Linked DNA regions of Oryctolagus cuniculus. Each later gene encodes a partner of the first gene's protein in a complex. Links are inferred from orthologs where the notes say so. Each region holds a gene or a part of one and is shown in the gene's direction. Other genes may lie near its edges. The genes, in order: HRAS, RASA1, MAPKAP1, SOS1, RASGRP4, GRB14 and PLCE1.

Evidence for each region.
Region 2: the proteins of HRAS (region 1) and RASA1 are in contact, whole or in part, in a crystal structure (PDB 8BOS), measured with the Homo sapiens proteins. The link is inferred for Oryctolagus cuniculus from reciprocal best matches to the Homo sapiens genes HRAS and RASA1. Residues at the interface, in NP_001123914.1 of Homo sapiens: Gly12, Gly13, Ser17, Ile21, Gln25, Asp30, Glu31, Tyr32, Asp33, Pro34, Thr35, Ile36, Glu37, Asp38, Ser39, Tyr40, Arg41, Gln61, Glu62, Glu63, Tyr64, Ala66, Met67, Lys88, Lys117; in NP_002881.1 of Homo sapiens: Gly746, Arg749, Glu783, Thr785, Thr786, Arg789, Ala790, Thr791, Glu799, Lys803, Ser833, Arg894, Gly898, Phe901, Leu902, Arg903, Cys906, Pro907, Leu910, Asn911, Met914, Arg928, Ile931, Ala934, Lys935, Gln938, Asn939, Asn942, Val944, Ala948.
Region 3: the proteins of HRAS (region 1) and MAPKAP1 are in contact, whole or in part, in a crystal structure (PDB 7VV8), measured with the Homo sapiens proteins. The link is inferred for Oryctolagus cuniculus from reciprocal best matches to the Homo sapiens genes HRAS and MAPKAP1. Residues at the interface, in NP_001123914.1 of Homo sapiens: Gln25, Asp33, Ile36, Glu37, Asp38, Ser39, Tyr40, Arg41, Leu56, Glu63, Tyr64, Met67; in NP_001006618.1 of Homo sapiens: Glu277, Ser278, Phe280, Ala286, His287, Gly288, Phe289, Ser290, Leu291, Ile292, Gln293, Arg311, Arg312, Lys313.
Region 4: the proteins of HRAS (region 1) and SOS1 are in contact, whole or in part, in a crystal structure (PDB 4NYM), measured with the Homo sapiens proteins. The link is inferred for Oryctolagus cuniculus from reciprocal best matches to the Homo sapiens genes HRAS and SOS1. Residues at the interface, in NP_001123914.1 of Homo sapiens: Gly13, Gly15, Ser17, Ala18, Thr20, Ile21, Gln25, Asp30, Glu31, Tyr32, Asp33, Pro34, Thr35, Glu37, Tyr40, Arg41, Asp54, Ile55, Leu56, Asp57, Thr58, Ala59, Gly60, Gln61, Glu63, Tyr64, Ser65, Ala66, Met67, Arg68; in NP_005624.2 of Homo sapiens: Glu589, Lys602, Trp809, Thr810, Lys814, Leu822, Met824, Ile825, Arg826, Thr828, Thr829, Thr832, Glu836, Asn869, Leu872, Val875, Ser876, Asn879, Ser880, Ser881, Tyr884, Ser908, Asp910, His911, Tyr912, Lys913, Leu916, Phe929, Phe930, Gly931.
Region 5: the proteins of HRAS (region 1) and RASGRP4 are in contact, whole or in part, in a crystal structure (PDB 6AXG), measured with the Homo sapiens proteins. The link is inferred for Oryctolagus cuniculus from reciprocal best matches to the Homo sapiens genes HRAS and RASGRP4. Residues at the interface, in NP_001123914.1 of Homo sapiens: Glu3, Gly12, Gly13, Gly15, Ser17, Ala18, Ile21, Asp33, Pro34, Thr35, Ile36, Glu37, Tyr40, Arg41, Asp54, Leu56, Asp57, Ala59, Gly60, Gln61, Glu63, Tyr64, Ser65, Ala66, Met67, Arg68, Asp69, Gln70, Arg73, Thr74; in NP_733749.1 of Homo sapiens: Tyr228, Gly232, Val234, Val244, Asn248, Ser251, Asn288, Met291, Ala292, Gly295, Gly296, Cys298, His299, Ser300, Leu327, Ala328, Ser329, His330, Asn331, Asn332, Tyr333, Ala334, Arg337, Leu351, Gly352, Val353, Leu355, Lys356, Val359, Ser360.
Region 6: the proteins of HRAS (region 1) and GRB14 are in contact, whole or in part, in a crystal structure (PDB 4K81), measured with the Homo sapiens proteins. The link is inferred for Oryctolagus cuniculus from reciprocal best matches to the Homo sapiens genes HRAS and GRB14. Residues at the interface, in NP_001123914.1 of Homo sapiens: Glu31, Asp33, Pro34, Ile36, Glu37, Asp38, Ser39, Tyr40, Arg41, Tyr64, Met67; in NP_004481.2 of Homo sapiens: Val109, Lys111, Asp116, Glu117, Thr118, Ser119, Arg120, Ala121, Leu122, Asp123, Lys140, His142.
Region 7: the proteins of HRAS (region 1) and PLCE1 are in contact, whole or in part, in a crystal structure (PDB 2C5L), measured with the Homo sapiens proteins. The link is inferred for Oryctolagus cuniculus from reciprocal best matches to the Homo sapiens genes HRAS and PLCE1. Residues at the interface, in NP_001123914.1 of Homo sapiens: Ile24, Gln25, His27, Val29, Glu31, Asp33, Ile36, Glu37, Asp38, Ser39, Tyr40, Arg41, Glu63, Tyr64; in NP_057425.3 of Homo sapiens: Phe2138, Pro2146, Glu2147, Gln2148, Pro2149, Arg2150, Thr2151, Val2152, Ile2153, Lys2154, Lys2171, Tyr2174, Ser2175.

Annotation. Positions count from the first base shown.
Region 1 is NC_091432.1:197,007-201,024, reverse strand, and holds the start of HRAS (GTPase HRas), read left to right. Parts: upstream 1-1,218; 5' UTR 1,219-1,402; intron 1,403-2,278; 5' UTR 2,279-2,326; coding exon 2,327-2,437; intron 2,438-2,518; coding exon 2,519-2,697; intron 2,698-2,774; coding exon 2,775-2,934; intron 2,935-3,030; exon of another isoform or gene 3,031-3,112; intron 3,113-3,480; coding exon 3,481-3,600; 3' UTR 3,601-3,604; intron 3,605-4,018. UniProt on the Homo sapiens protein: Involved in the activation of Ras protein signal transduction. Ras proteins bind GDP/GTP and possess intrinsic GTPase activity.
Region 2 is NC_091445.1:10,198,604-10,202,849, forward strand, and holds the start of RASA1 (ras GTPase-activating protein 1), read left to right. Parts: upstream 1-1,446; 5' UTR 1,447-1,822; coding exon 1,823-2,313; intron 2,314-4,246. UniProt on the Homo sapiens protein: Inhibitory regulator of the Ras-cyclic AMP pathway. Stimulates the GTPase of normal but not oncogenic Ras p21; this stimulation may be further increased in the presence of NCK1.
Region 3 is NC_091432.1:229,457,203-229,461,392, reverse strand, and holds the start of MAPKAP1 (target of rapamycin complex 2 subunit MAPKAP1), read left to right. Parts: upstream 1-1,390; 5' UTR 1,391-1,665; intron 1,666-4,190. UniProt on the Homo sapiens protein: Component of the mechanistic target of rapamycin complex 2 (mTORC2), which transduces signals from growth factors to pathways involved in proliferation, cytoskeletal organization, lipogenesis and anabolic output.
Region 4 is NC_091433.1:163,753,292-163,757,368, forward strand, and holds the start of SOS1 (son of sevenless homolog 1), read left to right. Parts: upstream 1-1,277; 5' UTR 1,278-1,895; coding exon 1,896-1,982; intron 1,983-4,077.
Region 5 is NC_091449.1:16,194,609-16,198,711, forward strand, and holds the start of RASGRP4 (RAS guanyl-releasing protein 4), read left to right. Parts: upstream 1-1,303; 5' UTR 1,304-1,402; coding exon 1,403-1,425; intron 1,426-4,103.
Region 6 is NC_091434.1:77,009,177-77,011,987, forward strand, and holds the end of GRB14 (growth factor receptor-bound protein 14), read left to right. Parts: intron 1-301; coding exon 302-395; intron 396-1,674; coding exon 1,675-1,821; 3' UTR 1,822-2,311; downstream 2,312-2,811. UniProt on the Homo sapiens protein: Adapter protein which modulates coupling of cell surface receptor kinases with specific signaling pathways. Binds to, and suppresses signals from, the activated insulin receptor (INSR). Potent inhibitor of insulin-stimulated MAPK3 phosphorylation.
Region 7 is NC_091446.1:36,441,033-36,444,532, reverse strand, and holds part of PLCE1 (1-phosphatidylinositol 4,5-bisphosphate phosphodiesterase epsilon-1), read left to right. Parts: intron 1-2,051; coding exon 2,052-2,113; intron 2,114-2,194; coding exon 2,195-2,360; intron 2,361-3,500. UniProt on the Homo sapiens protein: The production of the second messenger molecules diacylglycerol (DAG) and inositol 1,4,5-trisphosphate (IP3) is mediated by activated phosphatidylinositol-specific phospholipase C enzymes.

The DNA of each region.
Region 1 (4,018 bases):
GGGAGAGAGCCTCAGGGGTCCGGTCTGGATAGTGACCCACATGCTGAGGACCCAGGAACGCGCAGGTCCCCTGGGGAGCCCCGTGGACTTTCCCTGCTGCCTGCCCTCCTGCAGCTGGTGCCCGGCCCTAGGCCTCCCAGCTAATCCCCACCATGCCCAACTGCCACCTCATCATGGCCAGGGAGACGGGCTGGCCCTGGACGCCCATGGGTGGCCGAGGGTCCTGCCTCAGCCAGGCCCCAAGGGGTTCAAAGTCCAGGGGTTGGAGGCAGCTAGGCCCAAGCCCCCACTCCTGGACACTGCTCCTCTGCCACGCCCCCAAGGCCCGAGGCTGGCGACGGCCCTGGCTCCTCCCTTCACGGCCCAGTACCCAGGGCACACCTGGCTCCCTTCCCATGACCCCACCCTGGAGTGACCCCACCCTGGAGCCAGCCCCAGCAAGTCCCGAGGCGCGGGCGTGGCCTCCGCGGGGACACCTTTTGACCTCTGAGGCTGTCGCTGGGCCCCAGAGGCTCTGCTGAGTCCACCTCGGCCCGGGCTTCCCCTCACCTGCGGGGCGCCGGGGTGCCCAGCCCGGGGCTCGGCCCTGGGTGCCCGCGGCCGCGGCGCTCTCCGACTCCGCCAGTTCTTCCGGCCGCGGGGCTGCGGCCCGGGAGCCATGGCAACCGGGCGGGGCCTCATCTGCATACCAGAATATTCATGAGGCGCGAGCCTCTCACGCGGCGCGCGGCCACGCCCCCTAGCGACGGCTGCAGGGCGGGGGTACCCGGGACCGTGCTGCACCTGCCGCGGCTCCCGCGCGGGAAGCCCGTCCTGAGACCCCCGCCACGGCCAGAGGGGACGCCCGGCGCAGAGCCGCACGCCCCGTTCCCCGCCTCCCGCTTCCTCCAGGGGAGTGCGGGTCTCTGCCCTTCGTGCGTGCAGCAACTTTTGGGCTCGGTCTGATGGGAACTTCGGGCCGGAAGGCGGACCTCTGGCCTTCCCCAGCGCCGGCCCCGCTGCCGTGCCCGCCCCTCCAGCCCGCCACGCGTTCCCTCGGCACCCGCAGAACTCGGTGCGGGGCCCCGGCTCGGCCGAGGCCTGCCGGGCACCGCCCTGCGAGCCACTCCCGGAAGCCCCGCCCGGTCGCGCTTCCTGACGGACGGGCCGCTCAGCCAACCGCGTGGGGTGTGGCTCGGCCGAGCGCGTCCAATGATAGGCTGCGCCGGGCTGACGGACGGGCGCGGGGGCGGGGCAGGCGCGGCCGCGGTCGAGTGTCCGTCGCCCGCTGCCGGCGCCCGCAGCCTGAGCCGCACCCGGCGCGGACGGAGCCCATGCGCGGGGCGAGCCGCGCGCTTGGACCCCGCGCCCGCCCCCGCCCCCGCCCCGGCCCCGGCCCCGGGGGCAGTCGCGCCCGTGAGCGGTGAGTGCGGGCGGGGCGGGGGCGGGGGCCCGGCGCCCCCTCCCGGCCCTGCTGGCGGCGGCGCGGGGCGGGCGCGCGTGCGGGCCGGGGGCGGCGGCGGGGCGGGGGGCGGCGTCCGCGGCCCCTTCCTGGCGTCCCTGTGGCTGCGGGCCCCCGGGACCAGGCCCCGCCTGCGCCATGGCGCCGGGCGCCGTCTCCTCCCCGCGCTGCCCAGGGCTCGGAGAGGCCCAGCGCCGCGGCCACCGTGGCCCTCAGGGCCGCCAGGGCGCCCCGCCCTGCACGCCGCGACCCGGGGCGCGCCGGCTCGGGGTCCGGGCCTCCCCTGCGCTGCCCCTGCGCTAGGGCTGAGCCCCTGTTTGCCGGAACCCCTGCGCGTTTCTCCGAGGACTTTGGGGCCGGTGGACACCCCGGGGAGCCGACATCCTGGGGACCCCAGAGGGCGGGGATTGCGCCCCAGGCCCCCTGTCCCTCGGGCCGCGGCGGCACCTGCATGCGGTGCGCGCTCGGTAATGCTGTTCGGACGCACCCCCGGGCCCGGCGGCTGGCTGACGCTGGCCTGCCTGGGCAGGCTGTGGCCCGGCCGGCCGCGGCAGGACCTGTTCTGGGAGGCTAACCTCAGCCCTCAGGCCCTGCGGGTTGTGCGTTCTGCCTACACAGCAGCTTCTAATTTGGGTGCGTGGTTGGGAGAAGCTCTCAGCTGTCAGCCCTGCCTTTGGGGGTAGGCGCCCTGCCTTGCTCACGCTGTCGCTGGTGCGGCGGGGTGGGGAGGCGGCACCCCTCCCGCCCCCTGGATGGCGGCTGGCCCAGGTGGGCAGCTGGGCCGCCGTCCTGGCCGTCGGAGCTGCGGGCCTGGCTGAGCGTGGCCCTCCTTGGCAGGCGGGGCAGGAGACCCCACAGCGCCGGGCAGCCCGCGAGCAGCGCGCGATGACGGAGTATAAGCTGGTGGTGGTGGGCGCCGGCGGTGTAGGCAAGAGCGCACTGACCATCCAGCTGATCCAGAACCACTTCGTGGACGAATATGACCCCACCATCGAGGTGAGCCCGGCGACCCCTCCCCTGGGCGGCCAGCGCCGGTAGCCTGCCGCCACGCGGTCCCTGAGACGCCGCCTCCCGCAGGACTCGTACCGGAAGCAGGTGGTCATCGACGGGGAGACGTGCCTGCTGGACATCCTGGACACGGCGGGCCAGGAGGAGTACAGCGCCATGCGGGACCAGTACATGCGCACGGGCGAGGGCTTCCTCTGCGTGTTCGCCATCAACAACACCAAGTCCTTCGAGGACATCCACCAGTACAGGTGAGCGCCGCGGGGCGCGCACGGGGGCGCTGGCCAGGCCGGCAGTGCGCGCCCCGGCTCACGCCTGCCGCTCCCAGGGAGCAGATCAAGCGGGTGAAAGACTCGGACGACGTGCCCATGGTGCTGGTGGGGAACAAGTGCGACCTGGCGGCGCGCACCGTGGAGTCCCGGCAGGCGCAGGACCTGGCCCGCAGCTACGGCGTCCCCTATATCGAGACCTCGGCCAAGACGCGGCAGGTGAGCCCGGCCCCGCCCCCAGCCGCCCAGGGACGCCCCGGCCCCACCCCGCCCCCGCCAGGGAGCAGTGCTCACAGCCCCTCTCCCTCGACGCAGGGCAGCCGCTCTGGCTCTGGCTCCAGCTCCGGGACCCTCTGGGACCCCCCGGGACCCATGTGACCCAGCGGCCCCTCGCGCTGTAAGTCTCCCCGGACGGCAGGGCAGTGAGGGAGGCGAGGGCCGGGGTCTGGGCTCACGCCCTGCAGTCCTGGGCTGACGCAGCCCCAGGGGAGGGGGGGTCCCTAGAGAGAGCTGCCCTGAGCCAGGCTGGAGCGGTGACCCTGGGCCCCTGCCCCTCTGTCCCCAGTGTCCCACGGGTTCCTGTGGGTTCTGAGCCCTGTAGCTCACCAGCCGGGCGCAGAGTTGGGGTGGGGAGGTGAGCCTGCCCACGGGGGCGGCCCGGGAAGCTGCCGACGAGCAGGGAGGGGCAAGGGTTCAGCCTGAGCCCTCGGCGGGAAACAGCGGGTCCCCCGGTGGCCGCGCCCTGAGCCCGCTCCTCCCTTCCAGGGCGTGGAGGACGCGTTCTACACGCTGGTGCGGGAGATCCGGCAGCATAAGCTGCGGAAGCTGAACCCGCCCGACGAGAGCGGCCGCGGCTGTCTGAGCTGCAAGTGTGTGCTGTCCTGAGCAGGTGAGCCGGGGCCGCCGGCCCGTGGGTTCCCGCCCGGCCCCACGCCCCCGCCCGGCCCCACGCCCTTGCCCGGCCCCACGCCCCCGCCCGGCCCCACGCCCCCGCCCGGCCCCACGCCCCTGCCCGGCCCCACGCCCCCGTGTGCCCCACGCCCCTGCCCGGCCCCACGCCCCCGCCCGGCCCCACGCCCCCGCCCGGCCCCACGCCCCTGCACGGCCCCACGCCCCCGCCCGGCCCCACGCCCCCGCCCGGCCCCATGCCCTTGCCCGGCCCCACACGTGCCCCACGCCCCCGCCCGGCCCCACGCCCTTGCCCGGCCCCACACGTGCCCCACGCCCCCGCCCGGCCCCACGCCCCCGCCCGGCCCCATGCCCTTGCCCGGCCCCACACGTGCCCCACGCCCCCGCCCGGCCC
Region 2 (4,246 bases), on another chromosome or scaffold:
GATTTCTATTACAGCTCCTTGCCTTCCCCAGTATGCTGCTTTGTCAGTTAGATCATCCTTAGCCGAGAAAATAGTGACCTGAAAGAACAATATCCAACGATATTCAGTGTTGAGATCCACCCCAACTCAGAACAATTTTTGAATCGAAAAAGGCAAGCTGCCAACCCATTGGTTTCAAACAATGGGAATAATTCCTGCGTGTCTGTGAATGCATCTAGTCGGCCCTTCACATCTGAGGAATTAACTAACTCTGGGAAACATTTTACAAGCATGCATCTGTACCAAAAATGTCATTTTGATTCTTGTTATTTCCAAAACAATACAGTATAACGGCTATTTACATGCATTTACACTGTGTTAGTTATTGCAAGGAATCCAGAGAGGAGTTGGTGTACATGGAGGGTGTGCTTATGTGCAAACGCTACACCACTTTATTAAAAAAAAAAAAAAAAAAAAAAAGGGATTCGAGCATCCTGAGAGCCTGGTATCCCGTGGTGGAGGCCCTGGGACCAGTTCCCCAGGGATACTTTTAAAGAGAACACAAAACCCCTCCTTGTGCGCTTTAAGGGTGAGGTCCAGGCTATTACTGTTGAACACCCTGGACAAGGGGCTTGTGCAGGCGCTCCGCCCCGGGCTCCGGCACTTCTCACACCTCCTCACCGTCCACCTGGACGGGCGCCGGCACGGGGCGGCGGACACCGCGCTCCACACCACGACCGCCTGCCCGCACGGCTCCCGGCACCCGCGGCGCTTTCCCGAGTTCCGGGACTGCCGCCTTGGAGCTGACCTGCCAGTGCGGCAGTCGCCGTGCGGTCACTGCGCCCCACACCCGCGCTGCGCTGACCTTCGCCGCGCGCCCGCCCGCCCCGTCGGGCCTCCGCGCCGCCGCTTTTCGTCACCGTCAGCGAGCGCGGCAGTGGCTCCGGTGGGCTCTTCCTTCCGCTCCATGCTCTTCCAGCTCCTCTCGCCTCCCGGGGTTTCATGTCAGCCTGCCACACACACACACAGACACACACACACGCACACACACGCGCGCGCGCGCGCGGCCGGGCCAGGCCGCCGCGCCGCCTCCGCCCCTCGCGGGCCGCTTCCCGCCCCGCCCGCCCCGCGCGGCCGCGCCTGCGCAGAAGCCGCCCTCCGCCTCCGCCGCCCTTCCTCTCCCCGCCGCTCCTCCCCGGCCCCGCCCTCCTTTCTCTCTCTCTCTCTCTCTCCCTCCCGGTCTGTCTCGGGTTTCACTACCCGAGCGCTGCAGGTAGCGAGCAGCGCCGCGGTTTCCTCGCCACCCCGCCCCTCCCGCCTCCCCTGCCCACCCCTCCCCGCGCCGGGCTGGTGGAGGATGCAGCGGCTGCCGGGGCTGCGTCCCAGGCAGCGGCCCCGGCGGCGGCGGCTGCGGTGGGGGTGGCCGGAACTCGGGTGGTGAGCGAGCGGCGGCGGCTGAGGGAGCGGCGGCCGCCTCGGCCGCTTCCCCCGGGCTTCCCTTCCTCCCGAGCGCAGGAAGTTTTCCGCGTCCGTGCATGTGTGTGCGCGTGAGTGTGGGTGTGCGAGGCGAGCCCGGGGCGGCGTTTGTGCCGGCGCTGGGCTTTTTTTGCCCACTTGGCGCTCCGTAACGCAGGCGGCTCCGCGAGTCTGGGCTGTGGCCCGGGGAGGGGGCGCGGCGGCGGCGGCGGCGGCGGCGGCGGCGGGCTCTCTCCTTTTGTTGTTGTTTCCTCCGCCTGGGGAGCTGAAGGGGGGACGCGCCTGGGTGGGGCGGCTCGGAGCCCGGGCCTGCTGGCCCCCGGGGCTCCCGGGCGGGCCGCGCAGGCTGAGCGCAGCGGGCTTCAACATGATGGCCGCCGAGGCCGGCAGTGAGGAGGGCGGCCCGGTGGCTGCCGGAGCCGGAGGCGGCGGCGGCGGCGGCGGCGCGGCCGCGGGCTCCGGTGCCGCCTACCCGGTGGTGTGTCGCGTGAAGCTCCCCGCGGCCGCCGCCCCCTGCCCCGGGCTGGTGGAGGCCGGGGCGCTGGGTGGCGGGGCCGCTGTGGGGTCGGGGTTCCTGGGGGCCGGGTCCGTGGCGGGGGCCCTGGGGGGCGCGGGACTGACAGGGGGAGGCGCTGCTGGACCTAGTGGGGACATGGCCCTCCCCAAGGGGACCCCCTTGCTGCCGGCCGAGACCCTCGGGCCGGGCGGCGGCTTCCCGCCTCTGCCGCCGCCGCCGCCGCCTCTGCTGCCCCCGCTGGGTGCGGGTCTGGGCACGGTGGACGAAGGGGACTCCCTGGATGGACCAGAGTACGAGGAGGAAGAGGTGGCCATCCCGCTGACGGCGCCGCCGACTAACCAGTAAGTGGGCTGTGCGGTTGCGGGCTTGGGGGAAGACGCACCTTGTTCTCTGGCGGCTGTGATTTGTTGTGCAGAGTTGGTGGAGCTGCGGGTGTCGCGCGTAGGGATTTAACTGGAGCGCTCCTCTTCCCGACAGGCGGGCTCCCGGGGCGTCTTTGTGTGTTCATGGCTCCTCTGGGAAGATGTAGTTTTTAAGATGGGACGCATGGGAAAAGTGTGTGTCCAGTGAGAACCGGATATGGTTGTGTGCCCTGCAAATGGGTGCCCCAGGATTCGCCAAGCCTGCCCGGAGCCAAGGCAGTCGCAGTGTACATGGACTTGTGTGTGTGTGCGCCCTGATGAGTTAGTGTGTAGGGATAGCGTGGAGAGAAAACAATCCATTGACCAGAATGCTTTGCTTTTGTGGCACCGACTTCTCCAACTTCTGTCTACGAAGGCAGAGTGATGCAGCGAAGTGTTGATCCCTTAGGCGAACGTGGGTCCGGGAGAAAGAAGAGTTGTGAGAGTTAGGCGTGTGATGAAGGACTCAGGTTCTGAGCTGGTAACGTGTTTCGTAGACTGACTTGGTTGATGGACCTGTAATGCTTTTGTAGTTCAGACGCTCGAAGTACAGTCTTCATGCGAAACAGATTTTAACGGCGCTTCGCTTCAGAATTTTTGTTGGTGGCCAATACGGTCTTCTATTTGAAATTAATTTTGACATTTAGAATATGCAGGGCATGACTTTTTAAATATAACTTAAATGTTGGAACAGGAAGGGACACTAGTAGGCAAAACGTGATCTGTCACATCAGTCTTAAATGATGTTTAGGATTTCAGCAGCCTTGGTGAGCATCAGGAAAAAAACATTTGGTTGGTATGTGGATGGATGGTCACTCTGGACAAGCCAAAGGTGTTTTTTGTTTTGTTTTGTTTTGTTTTTAATACTTTGGAGGATTTAGAAAGACTTTAAAAAGTGATGAGGAGGGCTTGCAGCTGTGGTGTAACAGGTAAAGCTGCCACCTGCAGCAACAGCATTTCACATGAGCCTGGTTGGAAACCCAGGTGCTTCACTTCCAATCCAGGTCCCTGCTAATAACCTGGGAAAGCAGTGGAGAATGGCCCAAGTCCTTGGGTCCCTGCACCTACATCGGAGACCTGGAGGAGGCTCTTGGCTCCTGGCTTCTGCCTGGCCCTTGTGGCCATATGGGATATGGGGAGTGAACCATTGGATGGAAGATTCTCTAGCTCTGTGTCCCCCCCCCCCCCGCAATTCTGATTTTCAAAATGAATCTTAAGAAAAAAGTAATTAGGAAAATTAGGAAAAGATGCTGTATTACTGACACATTAATTTTTTTGTTTGATTTTATTCCAAGTTATTTCATGTGTGTGTCTTGCAGATTTCTTGGGAATGTTAAAAATTGGTTTTTTAGTGCTACTTGCACACCTTCGAGTCTTTTTTGGAAAAAATGACAGGTAAATATTATGTGCACACTTAATATTAAGTACTTATTGCTAAGGTTTTAATAAACTGTAATTTTTCATATTAAAAGAATCTAGTCTTATACCAGTTCATAACTGAATTGATTTAGGCCTATTTAGGATATTGTAGTTCAAAAAATTTTTTAATAGATTGTTATCTAGAGCAATTTTAGCTTACAGCAGAATTGAGTGGAAAGCAGAGTGTTCTTGTTAAATTTTTAATAATAAAGATGAGTGTGTACTTAGGAAAATATGGATTTGTGAGAAGTCTGTTCAGTGAGATTTTCATCATTTTTTTGTATTTAGGAGTAAGAATAAAACTTGTACGTCTGTGTATATGACAGTTGTTGATGTTCTAAAAGTACCCTCCATGTCTAAGTATGCTTTTAAAATATACTACTTAGAAGTGCAAATTTCCTTTTTTTTTTTAATCTTAGATGTCAATCTAGAGTTACTGGAGGCAATATAGTAT
Region 3 (4,190 bases), about 230 Mb from region 1:
TCTCCAGTGCCTAGGCTGGGCACCCATAAGTACCTGCTTATTGACAGGTGTAGTAACAGTGGTAAGTACTCAGTATTAGCCACCTGCTTGGCTGCATTCTATGGAGTTCTACGTATTAGCTCATTCAGTCCTCACAACGGTTATGACTTTTTTGTTTCAGTCTTTTTTTTAAAAGATCTATTGTATTTATTTGAAAGTTAGAGTGACAGAGATAGGTAGTACAGAAAGAGATCTTCCATCCGTTGGTTCATTCTCCAAATGACCATGATGGTTGGGGCTGGGCCAGGCCAAAGCCAGGAGCCAGGTACTCCATCAGGATCCCAAGTGGGTGCAGGGGTCCATGTACTTGGCCCATCCTGTGCTGCTTTCCCAGGAGCATTAACAGGAAGCTGGATGGGAAGTGGACCAGCCGGGACATGAACCAGTACCCTGATATGAGAACTGGCATTGCAGGCTGCAGCTTAACCTACTGTTGCACAAGGTCTGGCTCTGTTACTTTTGATTTCCATTCTACAGATAAGGAAATTTAAAGAGGTAGCTTGGAGAGACGAAGCTACAAAACTCCTAAGTGGAGAGAGTGTTCAGTCTTTAGACTCCATGAGCGACCCGCAGGTCCAGTCGATTTCGATTTCACACAGGTCTTGGCCGTGGGAGGGACGCTCAGGCAGCTGGGTTTCAGACTGGAGCCCAGGAAAGCAGAGAAAACGAGAGAAAGGTTTGGGGGGAAGTGGGGGAACCTACCCAACCTTTCTGTCCACCCGGCCAGAGCGCCCCCGACAGGTCCCCGCCGGAACCACGGAGGGCAGGTGCAGGGCGCGCCCGCACCGACCGTGCGGTGCCAGCACCCAGCACCCCGTGCGCCTCCCTGCCGTCCTCGCCGCGGACCCGCGTCTGGGCACTACACACAATGAGGGAGGTCGCGGCACCTCCTGCGGGTGCGTGCCGTCAGCCACTGTGCGGCCCCTCACCCCTCACCCCGTTTGATTCTCACAGCCATCCCGTCATCCCGGAACTGCTGCTACGGACGGGAAAGCCGAGGCTCCGAGGGGGCAGCTGCAGTGTCCAGGGGTACACTGCAAGTCAGCAGCGGCATTCGAACCCAGGGCTTTCGGATACACGCGCTAGGCTGCCTCGTTCCTCATTTCTGGATGAACTGGGGGCTCTTCTCTTTGCAAGTGGCAAGAACGAGGGCTCCACGGGGATCGCTGACGTCGATTTCCGTCCCAGGAAAGCCGGGCGCGAGCGAACCTCGCCGGGATTCCCAGGCTCGGACCCAGGCCTCTACCGACCCCGGAGAAGAACGCGCATGCGCACGGCCCCCCGCCCCCCGGGAAGTGGCTCTCGACTCTCGAGCTTGCGCACTGCGTTCCCCAGCCAGAGGCGCCTTCCTGGTCGGGGACTTCCGGTGCGCGGGGGTGCGGTTCCGGGTCGTGGCGCGGCTCGGGGTAACAGGGCTGCTGCTCGGCCGGTCGGCGGCGGCGAGCAGCCGGGACATGAGGGCTAGTCCGGGCGACGGCAGCTGAGAGGGCCGGGAGGAGCACCGGTCCCCGAGGATCCCGAGAGTGCAGAGTCGGGGCAGGGGCCGGGAGGCGTGGGGGAGCCGGGCCCTCCTCTCAGGAACGTTTCCCAAGGCCAGCCCGGCCCGTAGTGTGGAAGCAGCTTCAGGTAAAGGTTGCCCCAGCCGCTAGCTCCCTTGCCCGCCCGCCTGCCCGCCGGCCGGCCCGCTCGGCCTCTCACGGGGCCTGGCGGCTCGGATCCCCGGCGCTGCCTGCCCAGCGGGCCGCCCGTCAGGCCCCTGCTCCGGTGGTCAGCGGCAGCCGTTCCCTGGCCCCTTCCAGGAGCGGAGGCTGCCGTGAGCCTGACGTCCGGGTGTGGACCCCGTCGTGTGGGGTGGGGGCGCGGGCGCAGGTGGCTCCTGCGGTTTCTGTAGGTGCCCCGCTCTTCACAGTGTGAACATCGAGTTCTTCAGGTGTTGCGTGCGTGGTCCTGTCTCGTCCCCCTGCACGGATGAACAGCCCCGCTGAGTTTTTGTTAGCTGGAGTGCTGCTGCAACTTTGGGTCAGGTTTTTTTTTTTTTTTTTTTTTTTTATTTGTGGGAGTCTTCTGGATCTGTTTAAGGTTGGAGAAAAAAATTGTGTACACAAGGGTAGTATTTTAACCAGAGACACCCCTTCCCCAAATTGACTCAGAAATCGGATAAAACTGCATTCTGAATGAACGCAAGTGCTGTTTGAAGCCCACCGAAGTGGCACCGTGGAAAGCATCATGTTGTTGTAAACCCAAGTCAGCAAAGTTGAAAACTTCTCGGGTGTGACCCAGTGGCGGTACACCGCTAGAAAAAGCCGGACTTCTCGTGCTGTTTGGACAGGCAGGCGGGGGTGGATCTTCAGCGTTAAAACCCACCAGGACAGCTAACGAGGCACCCTGCTGTAGTCTCGGGTGCTGAGAGCCCACGCCGGGTGCTCCCGTGGTGCCGGGGGCGCCCTTGATGAAGTGATAATGGTTTTCATCCTCTCCAGCGTACCCACGTGCGAGCTCTCTGGGCCTGTGGCGTGTGCTGGTAGCCCCTCTCCCTCCCACTGTGGGCCAGACCACACTCGTGCCTGTGCGCCCCCCGACCTGGCTCGGGGCAGAGGCCCCCACTCGGATCCGTTGCTCTAGGCTCTCACGTCGCCCTTTGTCTTTGGCAGGGCGTGAGAAGGTTTCCCCTTTTCTGTGGTCCTCTCGAGAAACGCCCCTTGGCCTAGCTGAAGTTGGCCTCCCTCACCCAGTTTGGGACAACCCCAACTAGAAATGATTTCTCTAGACTCCTGTAAGCACTCATTGTTGTATTTACAGTTATTTCATTTGGCAAACAGTTACTGAGTATGGGTGTGTGCCAGGGGCAGTGTTAAGCAGTGTGCAGATACATCAGACTGGGTTCTGGCCTGCAGGGAGCTCAGCTTAGTGAGACAGATAAGGAAATTATAATTCCAACACAGTGATCAGTACAGAGTTCTTTTTGTGATACATTTGTACAGAAGGGGGACTGGTCGTTCACTTTTGAGGGGTGGGATATGGCCAGGGGATGCTTTGTAATGCATACTTTATTCAGTATTTATGTATTGCATGTTATATATCAGTTTTTCTTGTTTTATCATTTTAACCTCAATTTATAGATTAGGAAGACTTAGGATAAATGATGTAACTGATACAAGACAGCCATGGTCAAACCCAGATCTCTCTGATGCTTAAATCTGTACTTTTCCATTACTTGGCTTGCCGTCTTTCTCATCCCATAGCTATCTAATCAAGAACATCCTGAAACTATACAAAGGAAAAAATATGAATATTAAAGTGCATGGTACTAAGAATCATTTGAATGTATCACAGCCTTCCAAGGCAAGTTGGTAGTAGCTGATCACCTCAACTTTGAATATGGGCAAAGAAGATAGTCTAGAGAATTAGCATGGGCTCTGTGTTCAGTTCCTGGTCTCTCTTCTGACTAGATAAGTGACCTTTGGCAAGTTTCTTAACCCTAGGCATCATTTTCCTCAACTAGGCGTAGGGATGAGGGATGCTACTGACCTCACAGGTGTTCGGAATATGTAGTGAGCTACTGTGGATAAAGGGCCTGGTGTAGGTTGAGCATCCCTGATCCAAAAATCTAAAATCTGAAATTTTCTTTTTTAATTTCTTTTTTTTTGAGAGGCAAAAGGACACACAGTTCCCAATCACTGGTCCACTCTCCGAATTTCTGCAATGGCTGGGGCTGGGCCAGGGCAAAAATCAGGAGCCAGGAGCTCAGTGAAGGTCTCCCACATGGATGGCAGGAACCCAGTCCCTTGTGTCCTGATTGCATCAGCAGGAAGCTGGGAGTCAGGAGCTGGAAATGGGTAGGGACCCCAGGCGCCTTGACATGTGGGCTTCTCAAGTGGGTCCCAGCCACCGAGCCAAACACCCACCCCCAAGAGCAGAAACTTTGAGCACTACATGACTATCAAAAAGCTTCAGTTTTTGGAGTATTTGGAATTTTGGAATTTTGGATTAAGCCTATGGAAATACTTCAAAACCTGAAAAAATTAAAATCCTATATAGTTCTGGTCTCAAATATCTTTTTTAAGATTTATTTATTTATTTGAAAGTCAGAGTTACTCAGAGAGGAGAGGCAGAGAGATAGAGAAGTCTTCTATCTACTGGTTCACTCCCCA
Region 4 (4,077 bases), on another chromosome or scaffold:
CTGGCCTGAAATGTATTCTAAGAGCAACGAAGAGCCAAGGAATAGTTGGCAGCAGACCACCAGTGTAGGCTCACTCCTTTAGAACCACACAAAGCCTTTTCACCTATATCAGCCCTGTAGGTAGTGGAAGGGGTCTAACACGTTCTCCACTGAGACGCCCCCAACTCGACTCCAAACAATGTAGGTTCTCCTCTTCCAGAGGACTGACTGACGGGTTTCAAAATGTCACTGAACACTTCTGAAAGTGTAAATCAGGCATGCCCATTTTTAAAAGGAAAAAGCCCAAGACTTGATTCAGATTCTCAGAGAAGTTCTGTAAAGATTAAGATGCACCGCTTAAACATTTCTCAGCTTTGGGATCCTGGCTATTGTTCCATGGACCAGCAGGACACAAATGCCAGCTCAACCCAGGCTAGTCCTCTGCACTGTCTTCTCTGTGAAATGAAAACATGATTGCTGTGAGGGCTCAGGGAGCGATACTTTAGTGTTTAATGAAAACCACGAGGTGTCTACCCAACAGTGGTATTGGAAACCAACATCTGCAGCCCTGGAACCGAGGGACAAATTTATACACTGCACCTTTAGCATTCCACAAGCATTCCCTGGAGAAAAAGATCTGCCTTGCAGGCGTTCACGATCTAACCAAAATGCCGGGGAAGATAGAAAACGCAAAACAGACCAAGTGAGGTTCTCTGGAACCTGGGAACCGCGTATGATGTCCCACTTTCCAGGGCAGGGAAGCACTGACTGGAGTTGGTTGTCTGATGTGGGTTTGCGCAGGCTGAACCTGAACACCCATTCTACCCTTGCTGTGGAAAGGCCGGCTGGAAACATCGCAGTCGCTTCTGCCACCTGACAAATACTGAGCAGAGGGAAACCTATCTTTGTGCAGTCTGTTTACTATACGTTGCACGCTCCGAGCAGCCCTTATCCTCATGGTCGGGAACAAAGTACACACACAGACCCAGACACACACACACACCCCTTTCCGAAACCAAGGCCCGGGGACTCCAAGAGAGGGGTGGGATCCCTCGCGGCGCGGCCACACAATGGGGGCCGTCTCAGCACAGCTCGCCTCCCACCCCCACCCGCAGGCCCCATTCGGCCAGGGTTCGACTTCTCGGGCCCCACCGCCCCTCCCCTGCAGCCCCCGGGAGCGCAGCCACAGCCGGGCCCGGCGCCCTCCCTCGCCCTCCCTCCTTCACCGGGAGCCGGAAAACCCGGAGGGAACCGGCCCAGCCCGGCGGCGCATGCTCAGTAGCGCGCAGGTTCAGTTCGCTAGTAGGAAGCTCCAGCGCTGCACCGGCGGCGGCGGCGGCGGCGGCGGCCGCGGTGCAACCCGGCGGCCGGAACCCCAGCGGCGACTTCGGGCCCTTCCTCGCCCCCGAGCTCCCTCCCGCTCTAAGACTCTAGCGTGTCGAAGTCCTCGCTGGGCGAGCGGGCGCCGCGGCAGGAGCGCCCCTCCACACGCCCTCCCCCTGCCGCCAGCTCCTCGGCCGGGCAGGCCGGGCCCGGAGCGGAGCGTAGCCCCGGCAGCGGGCGGGCGGGCGGCGGCCGCGGCGGAGGGCAGCTCGGGGCGGCGCCGGCGGGCCGGGGAGGGGCGGGGGGCCTGGCCCCAGGGCGGTGGTGCGGCCGGGATGCCGCCGCCGCCGCCGCCACCTCCGGGCCGTGTTCGCTCTCCGCGGCTGGTGCCGGTGTCGGGCGGGTGGCCGCGCGCGGGCCTCGTCCCGCAGCCGCCTCTCCGGGGCTAGCCCGGCCGTGCGGCGCCCCGAGGGGGCCGGGCCGTCCGGAGGGGCCGCGGCCCTGTTCCGCGCTGCGAGCTCGCCCTCTCGCGGCTTCCCGGCCGGGCCGTCGCCGCCGCCCCTCTCCCCGCCCAGAGGCGCCCCGGGGGCACCATGCAGGCGCAGCAGCTGCCGTACGAGTTTTTCAGCGAGGAGAACGCGCCCAAGTGGCGGGGGCTGCTGGTGCCTGCGCTGAAGAAGGTGAGGAGCGCGGGGAACCCCGCTGCCCGGCCGCAGCCCCCGAGGCGGGCGCCGGGTCGGAGCCCGGCCGGGGAGGCGGGGCGCGCGCGGGCAGGGCCGCCTTTCTTCCCGGTCCCTCCGCAGCCGGCGGGCGCTCGGCGGGGACGTGCCCCGGTGTGTGGGAAGGCAGGCCGCGGGGAGAGGGTCGGAGACAGCAGTCGGGGGAGCCCCGGGGTTCAGCGGAGGTCAGCGCAGGCCACCCCTCCTCCTGGCCGGTCTCTTTGCCGAGCTGCTGTCAGCCTCCCGGTTGAAGTGTCCGGGACGCTCCTTTCACTGGCCCGATAACGCTCTGGCCATCATGTTTGCTGCGAGCTTGCCTGCCGGCGGCAGCATGGCCTGCTTTGCTCCCTCTGCGTTCTCCTGGGCACCCCCTCCGATTAACGAGGAGCTGCTACACATGCCAGTATTTTCAGACTTATTATTTTTTGACGGTTGAAAATCTTGGTGATGTCATTTGGGTTAGAATTTTTAACCTCTGTTTTGTATGTTTACGTTGGCCACATTGTTATCTAAAGTTATATAGGAAATGTTGCTACATTTTGTTTGTAAAGCAACGTTGTGACAAACACTGCACGTTAAAAACATCAGAAACTGGTGTGTGAGTTTAAAAACAACTGGACTGTTTTCGTTTCCTTTTCTTCATTTCTTCCTTTTCTGGTGGGGTGGCTTTATGCTTTCAACTGTGTGTCTAAATCCCAGTTTCTTGTTGCCCAAAGAATGTTTCATGAGATCTGGTTAAAATACAGCTTTGCTCCTCCTGAGGGCTGGGGTTATGGTTAGTCTTTCATGGTAAACATTTCCACTTGAACACAGTGTCTTAAAAGGTGTCTGAGTTTATCCAAGGCCAGAAGCTTTTACTTTCTTTTTTTGCCCTGGTCTCCCCCTCCCCCTTTTGCAGTCTTACAGTGGAACCTACTTAGTTAGCAAAATCTGCTCATATATTAAGGATTGAACTACCAACTTTTCCCCCTCAAATGTTTGGCTAGTCATTAACATCTCTTTGGTGTTTTCTAATAAAGTGTGTTTTGTGTGTGTGTGTGTGTGTGTGTTATCGGTATACTTCATTCATTAGAACTCCTACCAGGTTCTCCATCTGTTTAGTTGTGCTTTGCCTGCAAGTGTGTCTTCTTGTGATAGAAGGGGAGTAGGAGGTCACAGTGGTGCTAGAAGCTGGTGTTCCATCAGGGTAGAGGAAAATAAAACAGTTGTCTGAAAACATACCCAAAAAGCCTCATGAAGCATTACTCACTTGGGGTCATTTTGCTTAGAAGCTTACAGGTCCCATCCCAGGGGAACCACCGGTCTGTGGGTTGAGGATCCTTGGAAGTAGTGCAAAGAATGGCATTAGAATTGGCAGACTCACTGTCTGCCACGTGGGGGGCCCTGCTGGGATCTGTCCTCAGAAGAGTTTTGTTTGGCTGGCACAGTGTTGTTTATTGTTAAGTGTTTACACATGGGAGATATTACACAAAATCTGAATTCACAGCTTTTGTTGAAGAAAAATCTCTCCACTCAGGTCCCACGTGAAAAGCCAGCCAGTGACCTGCTGCGGGTGCATGGATAGCTGCCGTCTTTAGACAGGTGCACATTGGCGTTTACAAAGTCCTCAGCAGTCCCCTTTGCTTGTTTACATAAAACAATGCTTAGGTGTTTATTGACTTGAAAGTTTGGGCAGTGGAGAGAGAGGGAGAGTGAGAGAGAACACCTTGCTCTCCTCTGCTGGCTAACTTTCCCAGTGCTCATAATGGCGAGGACTGAAGCTGGGAGTTGGGAGCTCCAGGTTTCCCATGTGGGTGACAGGAACCCGATTACTTGAGCCGTCACAACTGCCTCTTGGAGTCCATATTAGCAAAAGCTGGAATCAGAAGCCAGGGCCTGATATTGAACCCAAACTCTGGCTTAGCAGCTAGGCCAAACGCCCACCTCTACACAAAGGGGCTTTTGACTCTAACAGAGTTGCCCTTGGAATAGAAATGATGGGAGGAGGTAGAAGTGTACAGTCTGACTGATAAATGTATCTTCCAATTCTTATCCAACTGTCTACCAGCAGGGAGTC
Region 5 (4,103 bases), on another chromosome or scaffold:
CCAAGTCCTTGGGCCCCTGCACCCACATGGGAGACCCGGAAGAAGCTCCTGGCTCCTGGCTTCGGATCGGTGCAGCTCTGCCATTGTGGCCAACTGGGGAGTGAACCATAGGATGGAAGACTTCTCTCTCTCTCTCTCTCTCTCTCTCTCTCTCTCCTCTCTGTGTGTAACTCTGTCAAATAAATAAATAAATCTTAAAAAAAAAAAAAGGGTTCACTCACTTGGTAACAACTGATCAACACAAATATTGAGTGATTTTTGCTCTTTTTTTTTGTCCTTCAGTTAAAAAATATGTCAAGTATGACACACTTAGGTAAAAAAAATGCATACTCAAAAGAACAGTCTGTTTCTATGAGCACACGTTTATGCACGTAAACACATTTCGGCAGTTTCGATGGCATCCAACAGCATTAACACTGGTCAGCCCTGCATGGGAGAGGGGGTGGCTGGGAGGGGCTCGAGAGTTTGCCTCCCCCTGTAATGTTTCTGTAATTAGATAACTGATCTGGGTGAGGATTAAATGAGTGAAAATGTTTTAAGCCCTCAGGGCAGGATATGGTACACAATAATTGCTAAATAAAAGTTTGTTGCAATAAAAGGAATGAAGTGGGAAAAAAAAGGGGCCAGCATTGTGGCACAGTGGGCTGGCTGCCACCTGCAGGGCTAGCATCCCACACGTTTCAATCCAGCTCCCTGCGGAGGCACCTGGGAGGCAGCAGATGATGGCCCAAATGCTAGAGCTCCTGCCACACCCAAAAGAGGCCTGGATGGAGCTCCTGGCTCCTGGCTTTGCCCTGGCTCAGCCCTGGCTGTTGCAGGTATTAAGGGAATAAACCAGCAAATGGAAGATCTCTCTATTTGTTGTTCTGCCTTTCAAATAAATAAAAATTCTAAAAAATTTAAGTGTAGTGTTTTCCAGGCTACAAATGGTGTCATTAAAAGTAACCCATCCATCAAAGAAGCACACAAAATAGCTTGATGAGTTTCCATTCCACCCTTTGGGTGTTATACACATGAATATGTTCTTATAGAAACAGAGACTTTTCTTTTGAGTGTGTTTTATATAAATATTAGTCACACTTTACCAAAAAAAAAAGGGGGGGGGGCCCTGCCACTATCAAAGCGTGACAGTGACGGGTCTCAAGTCAGAAAGATGGGGGAGATAGAGCCCGGGCTGGGTGGCTGGGGGTGGGGGGCCAGCAGCACCGGAAACCTCAGGCTGAAGGGATCCCCGGGGGGAGGGGATCCTCCCCTGGTCTCTCCCCAGCCTCTTCCTTCCCCCTGCCCAGGGTGGTGAGGAGGGGAAGTTCCTCTTTTCTTCCCGAGCACACAGGAGGCCTGCTCCCCTGGGACTGAGGAGCTGGCGCCAAGCTACCCTGGCAAGAGCGCCCCTCCAGGAAGCATGAACAGGAAAGACAGCAAGAGGTGAGAGGACCCTCCCCAGAGAGCCCCTAAGCCCTGCTGAGACACTGACCAGGAGGTAGGAAGGCTGCTGGGGCAAGATGATGGGAGCACCCCGAAGGCAGCCGGGGCCAGGGCGGCTTGCACCCAAGTGCTCTGTGCCCCGTCCTCACCCGCCCTGGAGCTGGAGCACCTGTGTGCCCTCCTCCCTCCTCGCTCTCCCCACCTGCACCCTATTCCCTCCACTGGGTGGCTCTGTCCTCCCTGGGGTCCTCCTGCTCCCCATCGCAGTTGCTGCCCCTTGGATGGGAAACTCCGGGCTCCTGCAGGACCCTGCCCCGAGGAGAGGGGCATGTGCGGCAGGGCGGGGCACTCGGCTGCTCCCGACACTGCAGAGGGCTGCCAGGCGTGGGTCAGGGCCCCACGGCTGGTTATGCTGGCAGGTTCTGGAATGGACTTCTATCTCCTAGGCTAGCTTGCCCTCCTGTCCCCACAGAGGCAGATGGTGACTGGGTCCCCCAGACAGAGTAGCTCCTCCAGTGTCCCCCAGCCTGATTCCGATGGGCAAAGGGGTTCCCTCCCCTCAGAACTCTGCAGGAATCCTGGCTGACTCATTTCCGGCTGTGTGACCTTAGGCAAGTCACTCAGCTTCCCTGTGCCTCTTTCATCATCTCTGTCAATGGAAGACTCAGAGACCATCAGCGAACCCGACAGGTTCTCAAACTTGACCATTCATCAGAGCCTCTTGGAGGGCTTGGGAAGTGCGGGCTGCCAGGCTCACCCCTAACGCTGTTGATTCTGTAGGTTGGAGTGGTGCCAGCAAATCTGTGTTTCTATCAAGTCCCTGGGAGATGCTGTTGGTACTTGTCGGGGACCCTGCTTGGAGACTCACTGATCTGGACGAGGGCTCAGCTGTGGGCCTGGTGCCTACTCAGGGATCATAAACGCCCACTATTGTTTCACTCTGATTTACTGCGTCTAGAACGTGCCAGGGACATGGCAGTGCCCTTGTCCATGGTCTCCCTGTTTCCAATTCCACCCACCGAGCCACAAGCCTGGCTTCTTCTCTGCCCCCGGCACTCTCTCTGTACCTCAAGTTCAAATTTCCCACCTCTGATCACTTAACAGCCTAGGCAGAATAAGTCTGCAGGGTCTTAGTCCACCCAAACGAGGATGGACTGGGTCCGAAGAAAGGTAAGTGCGCCGCTCGCCCGTTCCCCAGCCCGCCGATCCCGGGGACAGTCAGACGCAGTGGGGAGTCAAGCGCGTAGCAAAGCCTTTTATTTTATTTATTTATTTTTTAATTTTTTGACAGGCAGAGTGGACAGTGAGAGAGACAGAGAGAAAGGTCTTCCTTTGCCGTTGGTTCACCCTCCAATGGCCGCCGCGGCCGGCGCACTGTGGCCAGCGCACCGCGCTGAACCGATGGCAGGAACCAGGTACTTCTCCTGGTCTCCCATGGGGTGCAGGGCCCAAGGACTTGGGCCACCCTCCACTGCACTCCCTGGACACGGCAGAGAGCTGGCCTGGAAGAGGGGCAACCGGGACAGAATCCGGCGCCCCGACCAGGACTTGAACCCGGTATGCCGGCGCCACAAGGCGGAAGATTAGCCTAGTGAGCTGCGGCACTGGCGCAAAGCCTTTTAAAGCACAAGACCACAGGATTTCTGGGGCAGGGCATAAGGACCAACCAATTACTTAAAAGGTCATTTTATGGGGCGACTTTTTACAGGACCAGCCATATGTCTGTACACTCATCAGTTGTCATCACCTCCCCTGATGCTGGGCAGGCAATCAGCTTTGGTGGTCGACAACTTTGGATACTGCTCACCTTACTTCCCTTGGGCGCCATCTTTGAATTGCCTCCTGTGCCTAATTTCCCCACATAAGTCCATTACTGAGCCCTTTCGAGGAGCTAGGCATGGAATGCTTACAATAAATTCAGGGGCAGGGACAGTGTTCAGTGCAACAGTTAAGCTGCTGCATGGGATACCGACATCCTACAGAGGACGCCTGACTTTGAGTCCCGGCTCTGCTTCCGCTTCCAGCTTCCTGCTGATGTGCACTCTGGGAAGCTCCAATGATGGCCCAAGTGCTTGGGTTCCTGCCACCCACGTGGGAGGCCTGGATTGAGCTCTGGGCGCCTGGCTTTGGCCTGGCCCCAGATCCAGATGTTGCAAGCATTTGGGGAGTGAACCAGCAAATGGAAGATCTCTTTCTCTCGCTCTCTCTCTCGCTCAAATTAATTATATAATTTTTACAGATTTTGTTTTTTATTTATTTGAAAGGCAGAGTTGCAGAGAGAGGAAGAGGGGGAGAGAGAGACAGAGAAATCTTTCACCCACTGGTTCACTCCCCAAAGGGCCTAAAGAGTCAGGGCTGGACCAGGCCAGAGCCAAGAACCAGGAGCTTCTTTGAGGTCTCCCATGAGGATGCAGGGGCCCAAGCACTTGGATCATCTTTGGCTGCTTTCCCAGGTGCATTAGCAGGGAGCTGGCTCAGAAGTGGAGCAGCTGGGGCTCAAACCCACACCCATATAGGATGCTGGTGTCACAGGCAGAGGCTTAACCTGTCATACCACAATGTAATTTTTTAAATAATAGTTGTTGTTGTTTTTTTAATTCCTCGAGAAGGTCTAAAGATGGCTTTAGTTTTCATTTGAGGAAACAGACCAAGAGAAATGAAGTGACTAACAGCAAGTC
Region 6 (2,811 bases), on another chromosome or scaffold:
ACTAATTACTGATGCCAGCATATTTTTATATTGATTTTTGGGAGCAAACAGTCTGACAAATGGGCTGTATGTTTGTCCTATTGAAACTGTATCAGCACCCAAGCCAGTATTAAAGTATAAGATTATATTATGCATTATACCATATCATTTACCAACTTGGGTAATCTTACCCATTGCACCCACAATTAAGGATCCCCAACTATAATTTATGAATATGCTTTCTGGATGTGTTATACACTATAATTCTGTGAAACCCATGAGTAAATGTAAAAACATATTGAAATTCCTTCTCTCTTTTTAGAGTTTTCTTGGTACGGGATAGTCAGAGTAACCCCAAAACTTTTGTACTATCAATGAGTCATGGACAAAAAATAAAGCACTTTCAAATTATACCAGTAAGTAATTTGTGATTTCACATTTGTATATTAGAGATGATCTTAATGCATAAGCTTTTGGAAACTTTAGTTTTCTTTTGTTCCTTTTTATTAAATATAATTTGGAAGCTTGTGCTTTGACTAAAGTTAAGTTTGGCAGAAATGGTTTTATGAGCCTGAATTAATATAAGAAATACAGGAATTGTAAAAATTAAATTTTCTTTTTTCCATGAAATATGATTTAGCAATATTGTATAGACCCCATGCCACCTATTGTTAAAAGGCCACTAAAGATACGTTCTCCTGAATTCTACTAATGGTTCTTTAGAAAACATTATTTTAAAGCTCTTTCTCTTCCATTTTCTCAAAATTGATTTTTCATTGTTTTGTTTTTAATCATTATGGATAAAAACACAGGTGCTATGAAACTGGTGAACATTGAAACTATTCTGAGCACATTTTAAAATGTTCTGTAATTCTGCTTCTGGTGCCACAGTTTGCTGTGGGATTTTGTTGCTTTTGCCGCTGCTGCTGCCACTGTTGTGTGTGTGTGTGTGTGTGTGTGCGTGTGCGTGTATGTATGTGAAGTGCATATTGGAACCAGGTAATATGGAAGATTCAGTCTACTTTCATGATAGGGTTTCTTAAGATTACTAAATTGTTCATGCATCCTTTTGAATTGCTTTTTTTTTTTTGTGCTTATCGAAAGGGTGTAAAAATATCCTCCTTACTTCATTGAGTATGTGGTCAATGTCCCCAGCAAGTGTGAGTTGTTTAATGCCAGATGACTTCACTGCCAAAAAGAAGACAATTGACATTCCATTAATGTAATATTTGATTGTGTCAGAATCAATTTGCTGATGGAAATTATGTGAATATTCATTTTAAATACACTAAGTGAGGCTGTTAAGTAGACCACACTTAGAAATGGAAATTAATTTTTGTAAGTGGAAGCATTAAAATCTTCTGTTTACTTTTACACTGGGTACTACGGCTTTCTCAACGCTCATTGACTCAAAATAGTCATACTACCCAAACTACACAGAATGTTGGCATAATTACAGGTCAGTAAAGTGGAATCACACTGCTTTAAATGAGGAACAGATTATATTTCTTTTAAATGCAATTGATGTTACCTAAAAGAACTGGACATGCCACAGTATTCTTTTCACTATCATTCAGTTATATGAACTTATCAATTTTGGCATGGTAGGGCATGGAGAAAAATTGTGCAATGACATAGGATTGTTCTGGGTAATTTGACCAAATCTTGACCAGTTTGTTGATTTTCCTCCTGCAGATTGAAGATGATGGTGCAATGTTCCATACACTGGATGATGGCCACACAAGATTTACAGATCTAATTCAACTGGTGGAGTTCTATCAACTCAATAAGGGTGTTCTTCCTTGCAAGTTGAAGCATTATTGTGCTAGGATGGCTCTTTAACCAAATCAGAAGTGACTTGTGAAACTATTGAAGGAAAAAGAACTCAAGAAGAAAATTAAGAGAGAGACCATAAATAAGGGTGAAAATGTTAACCATGGGGAAAAGAATGTATTTCATCTCAAGTTACAAGAAAGAGTTATACATTGCAAATAAGCAAAGACTTGGATTGACATTATATTCATCATTTAAAGTTCATTAGTTAAAAATTAAACTTTAGGAAAAAATTGGCTTGATGTGTTCTTGTGTTATTTTACATTACTATACTTTTTTCAAATATGCATACAGATGTACATCAATCTTTCCTTCTCTACTATATAATATTATAACTTTAAAATACAAACTAGGAAACAATAATGGGATTAAAAATGAATTATTTACAGACTGAGCTTTAATTATACTGTTTTTTATTATTAAGAACAGTGAGAAAAACTTGAGTTATCAATTAAAAGGAGCTATCCACAACTTGTTAATAAAACTAAACTACTTCAAATTATGTATCTTCTGATTTATTATAATCTTCAAATAGCATATTTTTACATAGTGTATTAAAATTATTTTGAGATATATAGAGTTGTTATGGATAAATTTATTACATTATTGAATTACTATACTATGAAATCTATACTGGTATTCTGCCTACTGGAACATAGGTTTAGCATGTAATCTATGACAGCACAACATTGTCATCTTGGATAGCTCATATTTGCCCCATATTCTGACTTTCAGAACACTTTAGACAGTCAGTAACAGAACATTAACCCAATCAAAACAGGTGAAATGAAATATTCAAAATCTAGAAAGATCCTCATAGATAACTCCTTGTTTTCTTATTGCCTAGCTGCTTTTCAGTTTCTTACTATGGCAGCTCCAATATGGAAGCCACACATTTTGAAAGCTTTAACAGTCATTTCCTTCTTACTTCTGTGAGATCAGCTGGGAAATTTTGAGGTTGTGATGACTGTTTCCATTGTATTGTGGTGAGGGTATTCA
Region 7 (3,500 bases), on another chromosome or scaffold:
TGCGACGTATTTATTGTTTTTTTCTATACTTCTTTTTTTTTTTTAATTTTTTTGACAGGCAGAGTGGACAGTGAGAGAGACAGAGAGAAAGGTCTTCCTTTTGCTGTTGGTTCACCCTCCAATGGCTGCCGCTGCCGGCGCACCACGCTGATCCGATGGCAGGAGCCAGGTGCTTCTCCTGGTCTCCCATGGGGTGCAGGGCCCAAGCACTTGGGCCATCCTCCACTGCACTCCCTGGCCACAGCAGAGAGCTGGCCTGGAAGAGGGGCAACCGGGACAAAATCCGGTGCCCCGACCGGGACTAGAACCTGATGTGCCGGCACCGCAAGGTGGAGGATTAGCCTAGTGAGCTGTGGTGCCGGCCTCTATACTTCTTTTCAAAACTCTCACCTGTGACAGAAATAAGAAATAAAAGGGGCTTTTTTTTTTTAAGATTTATTTTATTTATTTGAAAGAGTTACAGAGAGAGGTAGAGATAGAGAAGTCTTCCATCCACTGGTTCACTCCCCAGATGGCTGCAATGGCCGGAGCTGTGCCGATCCAAAGCCAGGAGCCAGGAGCTTCTTCCGGTTCTCCCACCTGGGTACAGGGGCCCAAGGACTTGGGCCATCTTCTACTGCTATCCCAGGCCACAGCAGAGAGCTGGATTGGAAGACGAGCAGCCGGGACTAGAAATCGGCACCCATATGGGATGCTGGTACCTCAGGCCAGGGCTTTAACCTACTGTGCCACACCACCGGCCCCAAAAGGGGCTTTTTAAATGCTAAATATATGTATTCTTACTTATTGTATAATTAACATGTGTCCCAGGCAATGTCTGACTCAGTGACTAAGGAATCATTACCTAATTCCTTCTTATTCTTGCACAGGCAACATAATTAGTCTGGATTTTCTACCTCTTTTGTTATTTAACAAGTGGTTATTAGCCCCTATAATGCTGTCTCAGTTCCTGGAGCGGGGAAGAGAGTTGGGGAAAAGATCAGAGCTCTGTCCCTCAGTGCAGCTTATATTCCAGTGCTGAGACTGACAAGAAACAAGGATACGATATAATTGCAGGTGCTAGTGGGTTCTGAAAAGAACCAGGCAGAGGCTGGAGTCGTGGAGGAGGGCTGAGAGGAGTAAGCAAAGGCCACTCGGAGGAGCTGGCATCGGAGCTGGGCCCTGTTTAGTCCAAATGTCATGGAAAGGTCTGAGGAAAGCGCATCCCAGGCAGGGGGCAGCAGCTCCGAGGCTGGGCAGGCGCAGGCTGGGGAGCCACGGCAGAGCTAATGTCCTGGGGTCTGAGGAAGCCAGGTGGACTTGGTTCCACACAGGTGTGCCGGGACCCAGCCAGCCTGTGGTGGAGAGGTCGCCTTCAGTCCATGAGAAAGGAGAAGCCGTTGGGGTTTTCCGAGCGGGAGAGTCACATGATTTATGTTTCTAAGAGGTCACTCTGGCCCCACTGGAGAATAAACTGTGCTGGGGAAGGAGTGGGAGTCAGAGATCATTTAGGAGGTGGTGGTGGTGGCGGTTAGACCAGAGAGGGGCGGGGACGAGAGGCGGCGGGAGCGTCCCCTGTGGCTGGGTCACTTGCCGCAGAGGTACTCTTGGGCCTGATGGGGGACCAGTGGACGTGCTTTCCAACACTGGATTTGATCACCAGCCTTGCAACAATTGAGAGAACCAGCACAGTGCTGGGTGCTCCCTGTAGCGTCCCCGAGTGCTGGCACAGTCCTAAGTGCTCCCTGTCTCTGGGAGCTGCTATTATTATCCCCATTTTCACCTGGATAAACTGATTCCCTTTGTTTTCATATAAATCAGCCTTATTCTTTTCTCTTGCTCCTTTTTTTTCCTCTTAAATAAATAGGCTCAGTATAATAAACTCACATATAATAAATGTTTTCTTTTGGACTAAAAACTACATCTTACCATTACATTACTAAATTAGTTCAAATATTTGGTTTAGATGTTTCCTGATGAAAACAGAACAGCTTTAAAAAATGATGTGGTTTTTTTCCCCCCTCATGGTTTCCTTTACCTAAATTATACTTTTTTTTTTCTATCCCTTGCAGAAGTTCGAGCCTAGCATCAGTATGTGTCACCAAGGTCTAATGTCATTTGAAGGATTTGCGAGGTAATTTTGAAAATGTCTCTTGATCATCATTTAAAAGCATGTGTTTTTCCCACGTAGCTTAAGAACATTTGTTTCATCTAGGTTTCTGATGGATAAAGAGAATTTTGCCTCGAAAAATGATGAGTCACAGGAGAACATTAAAGAATTGCAGCTACCCCTGTCCTACTATTACATTGAGTCTTCACACAATACCTACCTCACAGGCCATCAGCTGAAAGGGGAGTCCTCAGTAGAACTCTACAGCCAGGTACCAAGAATGTCACTTGGAACATGGTTTTCATTAAGTTTCATTATTTACATAGCTGGCAAAGTCACAAAACCTGACCCCAGACTGCTTTGAAGGGTTTATATGTGACATGTGAGAAGCCATGATGTGTGGGAAAACTAGCTATACATCCAGCACTTGTTTTCTTTCTGCTTTTTGTTTGGTTTGGTTTCCTCCCCCATCTATACTTAACCTTTATTCTGGCGAAAAAAAAAAAAAAAAGGATTTGTTGGAGACTCATAGCTTTTAGATCCTAGTTAATCTGACCTACTTCTACTAAAATTAGATTTTCTCATGGGAAAATTATCTAATCGTTTCACAAAATGCTAAATAAATCAATACATTGTAGTGGGAAAGCATAGTAGAAAATGAAACTTTCTACAAAGATAATACCAAAATATAGTTTGTTTTGCTTTGCAATTTGTTAGACAATCAGTCCATCTCTATGGTAACCACCTTGAGAAAAAAGTCTGCACAGACTGTAGGCACTGTCCCTCGGCACTCAGATCCATGGGAATGTTCTTTGAAAGTCAGCAGGTTCTCTGGGCTGGGAAAAGCACATCCTTTTGACCTAAACGGCCAACTTTGAACAGTCTGCTGTCTGTTGCTGCTCTATTGTGTTGTCTGCAGCTTCCTCAGCTATGCTGCCTGTTTCCAGAACTCCTACAAGAAGGATTAATGAGGAAGGAGCTAGGCCAGGTCCACAGAGTGTATCAATGGGCCGTTATGTGCGTATGGGTCCAAGGTTGAAAATTATGGTTGTGTTGCTTACACAACTCTAGTAGCAATGAGATTTCTTTGTTCTCCAAATTTGTCCAGATAGTCCTCAAAGCATGGGACAAATTTTTGTCCCAAAGCTTATTTTACGTGGAATATATATTTTACATTTTTTAAAAAAAAGGCTTGTTTATTTATTTATTTGAAAGGCAGAGTTACAGAGAGGCAGAGGCAGAGATACAGAAAAGTCTTCCATCTGCTGGTTCACTCCCCAAATGACTGCAACAGCTGGAGCTGAGCCGATCCGAAGCTAGGAGCCAGGAGCTTCTTCCAGGTCTCCCGTGGGGTGCAGGGGCCTAAGGATTTGGGCCATCTTCTGGTTTCCCAGGCCTGAGCAGGGAGCTG